Drosophila melanogaster: one gene and its partner. The gene in region 2 interacts genetically with the main gene of each other region. Each region holds a gene or a part of one and is shown on either strand. Other genes may lie near its edges.

The links.
Region 1: of CG11893 (region 2) and ap, changing one enhances a phenotype caused by changing the other (phenotypic enhancement), as found in Drosophila melanogaster (one study listed by BioGRID).

Annotation. Positions count from the first base shown.
Region 1 is NT_033778.4:5,724,659-5,728,590, forward strand, and holds the start of ap (apterous), read right to left. Parts: upstream 2,175-3,932; 5' UTR 1,202-2,174; coding exon 1,163-1,201; intron 1-1,162. UniProt on the Drosophila melanogaster protein: Required for the normal development of the wing and halter imaginal disks.
Region 2 is NT_033777.3:25,287,646-25,291,577, reverse strand, and holds CG11893 (uncharacterized protein), read right to left. Parts: upstream 1,690-3,932; 5' UTR 1,652-1,689; coding exon 586-1,651; intron 523-585; coding exon 338-522; 3' UTR 212-337; downstream 1-211. Other genes in the region: CG31098 (uncharacterized protein), read left to right, coding at 1-82; CG13658 (uncharacterized protein), read right to left, coding at 2,702-2,886, 2,952-3,480, 3,539-3,932.

The DNA of each region.
Region 1 (3,932 bases), on a different chromosome or scaffold from region 2:
AAAGGACGGACGGTTGGACGAATAAAAGAACGGACAGGCGGACATGGCCAGATCAACTCGGCTATTGACCTTAATCAAGGATATCCCTTATAAGGGTCGGTAACCCTTCCATCTGTCTGTTACATACTTTTCAACGAATGTTTCATACCATTTTACTCTTCCAATTTATTTACGATTTTCCTATTCTTATACAATACAATCTTATACAATTCTTGTACAATATATAGATGTGGTATATATAGACTAGAATTCGAATACTCGTACATCTCGATTTACAGTAATCGATGACATTTGGAAAACATACAAAAGATGGGAATTAAAACAAACACACAGATTTCAAACACCAAAGTTGTAAAGTAACAAAAAATTGTTTGCATAAAGTATAAGGAATGCGTTATGTTTCAAAATAGGAATAGCAATTAAAAATGACAAAATCAAAAATAGGTAAAAGATGTTCATGTAACTCATCAAGGCAATTCGTTCTTTTCAAAAAAATGGTACAAGAATATCTCTGTGTGGTAGAAAATGCCTTATTCGCGTTAAAAATTAGTATTTGAAGGTCAATTGACTACTATTAAAATATATCAAATTGGTATATATTGGCACACGGTGATTATTCTCTAAAACTGAATACGTTCGCGTCGAATATCAGATATATACAAAAATTTCGTAAAAACGTACATATTTGTTTTACCTGTATTTTGATTTCTACATATCTATTAATTTTTTTGCACGACTATGCCGCCCAATTTGATTGTATATTGATTAGTACGACTATCATCAAAAATCTGCCTTCTTAAACATTAAATGATTCTAACCTAAGTTAGATGAATAAAAATTAAGGCAGGGAATCACATTGAAATTTTGTAACCGCGTTCTACAGCAATGTTTCAACGAGCGAACTAGCCACTGATTGAACACTTCTGGGAACTGTTTTTAATCTGAAATGCCCAAGCGGCTTTCTTATCGATATTGAGTGGGGCTGTCTGTTGATAGGCAAGCTTTCAGTCTGGTATTGATAACTCCGAGTAACCCAGGCTCGGATCAATATTAATCACAAAGGGCAGAGTTTGGGTGAGCTGGGACGGACTGGTGGATGACTTATTTTTTAGTCTTATCGCTGGTAACTTTGGATTTTATGTGCTACGGCGGCAGAACTTACCCAATGCATCACAGGGCGCTCCTCGGTGCAGACGCCCATGTGCGTCTTTTGGAATGACACGAGGTCTATTTCCAAGGATGATGTCCGTCGGTCGTGTTATGTTTGTCGTTGTGTAGGCTGTGCGTTGTGTCTTGCGAGCCTTATGCCTCCTTAAAAGGGCTGCGGTGCTACGTTGGTCTTGGGTAATCCTCTACACCCCGGCTAGATGTGCTATTGGACACTTGACACTGGCCACGATTAGATGCCCGGCTAGGCTCGCCGGTAATAAGTGTGCGCACAACTTGATCTATTACTTTGCGGACATGCATCACTTCGGCGTTGTCTTAGAGATTGACACCATTGGCTTGCCTTTTCTTATTGCACAAACTACGATTTGAATGCCGCTTTTTTTAAACTTTCTCCTTAGCACCAAGGTAATATAAGGAACATAGGGTCACACACTCACTAAAACACTTGACTCGGCGGCAGGTAGGATATTTGTATTGATTAGAAACCGCCCCTGTATCTCGAGCGCAAAGGCGTTTTCGGACCGCTGACGACCACCGGTTAGCGTAAGAAATCTAAAGTTAATTTATGACATTAATTTACGAGACAGCGCGAGAATGGCACATCAGATCCAAATTGAGTGGTAAAGGTCGGCCTTTGTCGGGCTCTTCCTACGACACTCGACGATGCCTGTTACTGATAAGGCATTAGAGACAGAGGCGCGTATGCGTATGCGGCTGTGCTCCCTTGTGTTGTTGTTTATGACCGGGCAGGCGATTACCGATCCAACTTCAGTTTTGTATCCGTTTCGCCAACTCCCTGTTTCTGTGTCGATTCTCCTTCGATCCAGTTCTGGCAAACCGAAACTACAGCCGAGCTCAAGTCAAAACAAAAATCGAATACGCGCACCGCTTCCAAAAACAAAAACCGACTCAAATTCGAAACTCGACTACCGACTTTGGTCTGCAGCTGATCTACTCAAAATCGTGAGGACAACCAGCCGTCGCAGCTGAAAAACTGGGAATGTTTGGACGCTGTGCGAGCGCAGCGCCAGAAGCCAAAAAACTCCACCGCCCCGTTCGCCGTGTGTTTGCGTGCGTGATGTGCGCGCGCCAGTGTGAGTGAGTGCGATGTCGCGCATGAGCTGCCATCCTGCTTGCACACACGCTCATTCCGCAGCTCTCACGTAGTGGCAAATGGCGGCGCTCTCAGCTGATAGCGTCAGTAGCTCGTTCCCGCTCTAGAGCACAGCCAGTAGACGAAGAGGGCGTGGTGTTCTATCCGCGCTCTCGCACCAGCCGAAATCGCCTCCCCACGCACCGCCCACCGGACAGTTGGCCGGCTGCAAAACGTGAATAAGGCAGCGGTAGCAGCAGTCAGGAGGAGTATAAGCTGTGCGCCAGACGCCACATGAATGAGGATGGACTCCAGACTCGAACTGGAAGCTGCGAGCGGAGTCCGTGACAGGAATTCCAACTCGCAGAGGACGAACAGTGGTCTGAGGACGCACAGGGGAACGAACTCTCACACCAGCGGGTCTTCGGTTGACTCTGCTGATTCTTTAGTTGTGTAATGAAAAGATGCATGGTGTCTATATATGCCGTCTTCATGCTGAAAACATCATGCAGAAAAGTTGTAACTAACTTACTGAGAGCTATTTATTGTGTTTTCGTATGCTGACGCTATAAATGTTGAAAGAATATAGGTTCGTTTGACAGGTGTATTTATAATTCTCAACCAGTTCAAACGCTACCAGCACTACGCCCAAGTTGTCGCCTGCTTCCAATAAGAACTGTCATCATAGAACCTTGCTGTCACTTCTCCTTTAATTCCGCACAAGCTTGAAACAAAGTGCACACAAATCTCCAAATGGCTTAGGGAGCAGATTTAACGTTAAATACTTTTATTGCAGTTACAGCTATAAATATTCAGCTTTTGTGGTATGCATTCACTATGATTCCACAAATGTTTGACATTTTGAGTGTTTTGCCGGTTGTAACTTACATATATTTGGCAAGTTTTGGTTGAGGTTACGGTTACATTTTAATAATGTAAAATATTTGCCATTAACTGCAATGCATTTTCAGAATTTCAACCAGCTTACGTTGATTCAATCGTTGAAAAAGAAATTTTTTTAAGTGTAATTGTTAATATACTTCTGCTGTTACATACATAAGTTCGCCGCTGCTTTTTGAACTCTTCGCAGAAAGTTTTAAAACATGTATTACGTATTTGAAATGTTTGTGCGACTTAGCCTTCGCATTTAACTTTATTTTTGGGCAAAATGTTTCACCTCGTTGTTGCTATTGTTGCTTGTTGACTTAAGAGGGCTTTCAAAGAACCCCGGTTAAGTCGGAACTGATTGGGTGGATTGGTTGTGGACGTCGGCACAGATTTTGGGTCCTTATTCCTTACGAATATACACAGCTGAATTCTCATGATTTTAATATTGACAAGAGTAAATGCGAATACATGCAGTATTTTCAGACCATTATAATTGGTACAGTGCCTCATAATAATTTGTTTATAGATTCTTTTAAATTTTACATCTTTTTTTATTGTAAACAGGCCCATCTTACAAAAGTGCGTAAAATATACTAATACATTATAAGAGATGGGCACATAAGGACAAAATAACGGTAACAGTAATCATTGGTAAAACATTGGTGTATAAACCGATTTGATCTTTAATAATTGTAGATTTATGTATAATAAACGTTAATCATGTTATGTGATTATTAGAAAATATAACCATCTCATCCCTCTGTTAGAATTCTACTCTACA
Region 2 (3,932 bases):
AAATGTTGAAAACCCCAAGTATCGGGCTTTCCTTCAGCGAACTATTAAAGAATTCGAGCTATCTGGATTCTTGGATGAATAGTGACAAAGGGCTAATGAAGATTGCGTTACATTCGATCAAAAGTATTCGGGCTTCCACATACAGTAAGCTTTCCAGACAAATATTCCATGAGTATTTTACACCCAAATTAAAAAAAAAGAAAAATTTAATTTGATGATACGTTTTGTTATTTAATTTAAAGCAAAAGGAAACCCTAAAAAATTACATGGTTCATATAGTTGCGATCAATTAGCCATGCAATATATACACATTTTAACTGATAGCTTTAAAAATAGATCAAAGATCGTTAAAGTATCCCATTTCCTCATATTTACCCAAAAGCTTTTTGACATCTTGAACATAAGGGTCATAGAGGTATGATTTTTGTCTGATTTCCGGATCTTGAATTAACTCGTGTATTTTAAACGTATTCGCTTTAACGGCCACAATCATTGGCGAAAAAGTGGTTAAAAGGAAGAAGTCTGTAAAAATATTGAAGTGGTTAGGCTTATTGAAACTAGGCGATAAATAAAATAGGCACTTACCATAAAACTTGTGTCGGTGTATTTGCTTCCACAGACCATCATTGGTCGGCATCTTGCCCTTGTAGCCAACTTTTTTTAACGTGTCCTCCAAAACCGAAAAATAAAAGTTAATAAGATCCTTTCCGAGATCCCATCGCTGCTCTGGCTCCATGAGCATGTACACAGAATAACTCAAATCGATTGTAATGGGACACAGGTTACAGATTTGGAAATCTACAAACATGACCTCCTCATTTTTATTGAACATCATATTTCGGCCATGAAAATCTCCGTGACACATCACGTAGTATCCATCGGATTGAACGTTCTTGCGATATTCCTGCATTACATCACCCATACGCTGTATGTAGTTCTCTTTTATTTTCTCAAAGTGTGGCTTGTACTTTGTAAGTTCAGGAATCTGGTCCATCATTTTCAAAAAGTTGTCCATTCCAGTAGTAACCATTGGATCCGACATAATAGAAGGCATTTCCATTAGCCCATACTTGAAGTCTTTCAAGATATCAGGTTGCTCATTCAAGACTTTCATGCTAACAGCATGCCATTTGGCCAGTTTGGAGAAAACATTTTTGTATTCGTTCATGTTTATTGGACGATCTCGGATCACGAAGTATCCCTGCGGCACCAAATCCTCGAATATTAACACCTGCCGAGGCTCTAGACTGTGGTAGATACAGGGCACAAATAGCTTTGTATCGTCGCCTGCCTCCCGGAGAATTCTCTCGAATTCGGGCAGAGCCTTAGTGTAAGCATTAATCTCGGTGGAGAACAAATGTGAGTCGCTAAGCATATCCTTCTTGTGTCCTTCTTGTTCTGGCATCGTTTTAATGATTAGCGGCTTACAGAACTTTCCTTTCGAAGTGGTATACTCAGCAGTAGTACGGAACATTACGCTTGCGTAGTGATCTCCCTGGGCACTCGCCGGAGTGATTTTAAGATCGGTAACCTCCAGTTCCGGACACTTTTCGTAGGTTCTAAGAACGTCAGTAATAAACTGGGCATTCAGCCATGCAGGAGCCTCCAGCTCATCGGCATTAAATTGCTCGGTATCTGCGTTTTCTGGCATTTTTATTTCGCGCTCTCAACAAACAATTCGGAATGATGTTTGATCTGGGTATACTAAACCTTCCTATGTGCCCACTTATTATAAAGGCTGGCTAAGTGAGCTTTCGAAAGCGGCTTGAACCTTTTAACACGAAACTTTTCGATTTTGTGTGAAATACGTCTACTCAATGATCTTATCAATATGCATTGAAATCTGTTCTACAGGACAAATACTGTGATCAATAGAAACTTACAAATAAATCAGATATTTATTCTGTTCTATGAAATAATATTTAGGTCAGGTGTAAGAAGTATAAAACGCTAAAAATGTTTAATGTTAGTCCAGCTTACTGGATTATCAAATGTTTGAAGACGAATTAAATTCAAGTTTGCCCGATTTTATACAATCGTGATACAGATTTTCAAAATAACTATGTTGTTTCACTATAACTATATTTTCGAAACTGCATCTTGACAGAATGTAAGACGTAAGACCGTAATCCTTATGGCCATGGATATGCTTTTAGATTCCTGGAAGGGAACATATCTCCCTGAAGCCCACTTTTTTCAGTTTGATGTTGGAGTAAATTGGGACAATGGTATTGGAGCGCATATGTGTAGCTGATCTTGAAATCACTACTGCCACAAAGACCTCTGTTTCCTTGTTCTATTCTTTAACATCGTGTTCCGAACATGATTAGGATAATGACTTTTTTGATTACTGAATGACACATTGCCAACTTTAAGTTTATAATTTAACAGCCCTATCCGTCATGATGTGAAGTCATGATGATGTCAGCAATATTAATAAAACAAATTCCAAGATTTTATTTATAATAATAATATACATATTTGGTAAACGCAAGAAACGGATTTCAGTAAATATATATAAGCAATAAAATAATAAATGTATGTTTTAAATGTTTCTTTTAGAATTTCGAAATCAATAGCGGGAAAGAACTTTACCTTGAATGCATGCAACTTTACACGTATATGTTTGTTAATAACGAGTGCAATTATGTAGGTAAATGTGAAGTTATTTTTTTATTTCAATTAATTTTATACAATCGGATTAAAGATCTTTAAAATATCCCAGTTCTTCGAATTTTCGCAATAGCATCTTGACATCCGTAATGTATTCATCCAAAAAGAAAGACTTTTGTTTCGTTTGCGGATCAAAAAATGAATCCATACTTTTAAATGTTTTCGTATTCATGGCAGCCACCAGGGGTAGAAAGCTGGTCATCATGAAGAATTCTATAACGATGTAACAAGGAATAAGCATACAAGTCAACAGCTGTCTTTCAATTTTAGTTCCTTACCGTAATCCTTATGGCCATGAATATGCTCCCACACTCCTGTCTGAGTTGGCATTTCACCTTTGAAGCCTATTTTTTTCAGAGTGTCCGCCAGAACAGAGAAATAATAATTGATATATTCCTTTCCAAGATCCCAACGATCCTCCGTATCCATTACCATGAAGATGGAGTAAATTAGGTCAATGGAAAGGGGGCAAACATTACTGATCTGGAAATCCACCAGCATTACGTCCTCGAAAGACCCTGTTTCCTTGTTATACCTAAACATCATGTTGCGCCCATGAAAATCCCCGTGACACAGCACGTAGTACCTATTTGGCTTCGGATTAGTGCGATATTCTTCCATGACTGCACTCATCTGCTGAATGTAGTTATCCTTTATTTTTTCGAAATACGGCTTATATTTCGTGAGTTCCGGAACCTTGTCTAACATTTCCAGGAAACAGGGTACTCCAGTTGTCACTATAGAATCGTTCAGAAAGTTGGGCATGCCCCATAACCCATACTTAAATTCCTTAAGAAAGTCAGGTCGCTTGAAAAGAAAAGTTCTTACTTTGTTATCTTTTGCAATGGATGGTGCACTAGTTCACCTCATTTAAAACTTTCATGCTGGCTGCATGCCACTTTGCCAACTTGAAGAAGGCTTTCTGAAGTTCTTCTTTATTAGGATAACGATCTCGGATGACGGTGTACCCCTGTGGCACCAGATCCTCGAATATCATCACCTGATGAGGTTCCAAGCTGTGATAGATACAAGGCGCATAGAGCTTGGTAGTATCCCCTGCCTCCCGGAGAATTCTCTCGAGCTCTGGAAGAGCTTTGCTGTACATTAAGATCTCCGTTTTGAATATCGGCGAATTTGACAGCATATCCTTTTTGTGACCTTCCTGTTCCGGCATTGTTTTAACTATCAGTGCCTTGGAGAAATTCCCCTTGGCGGTGGAGTAGTGGGAAACAGCTCGGAACATGACGCTGGCATAATGA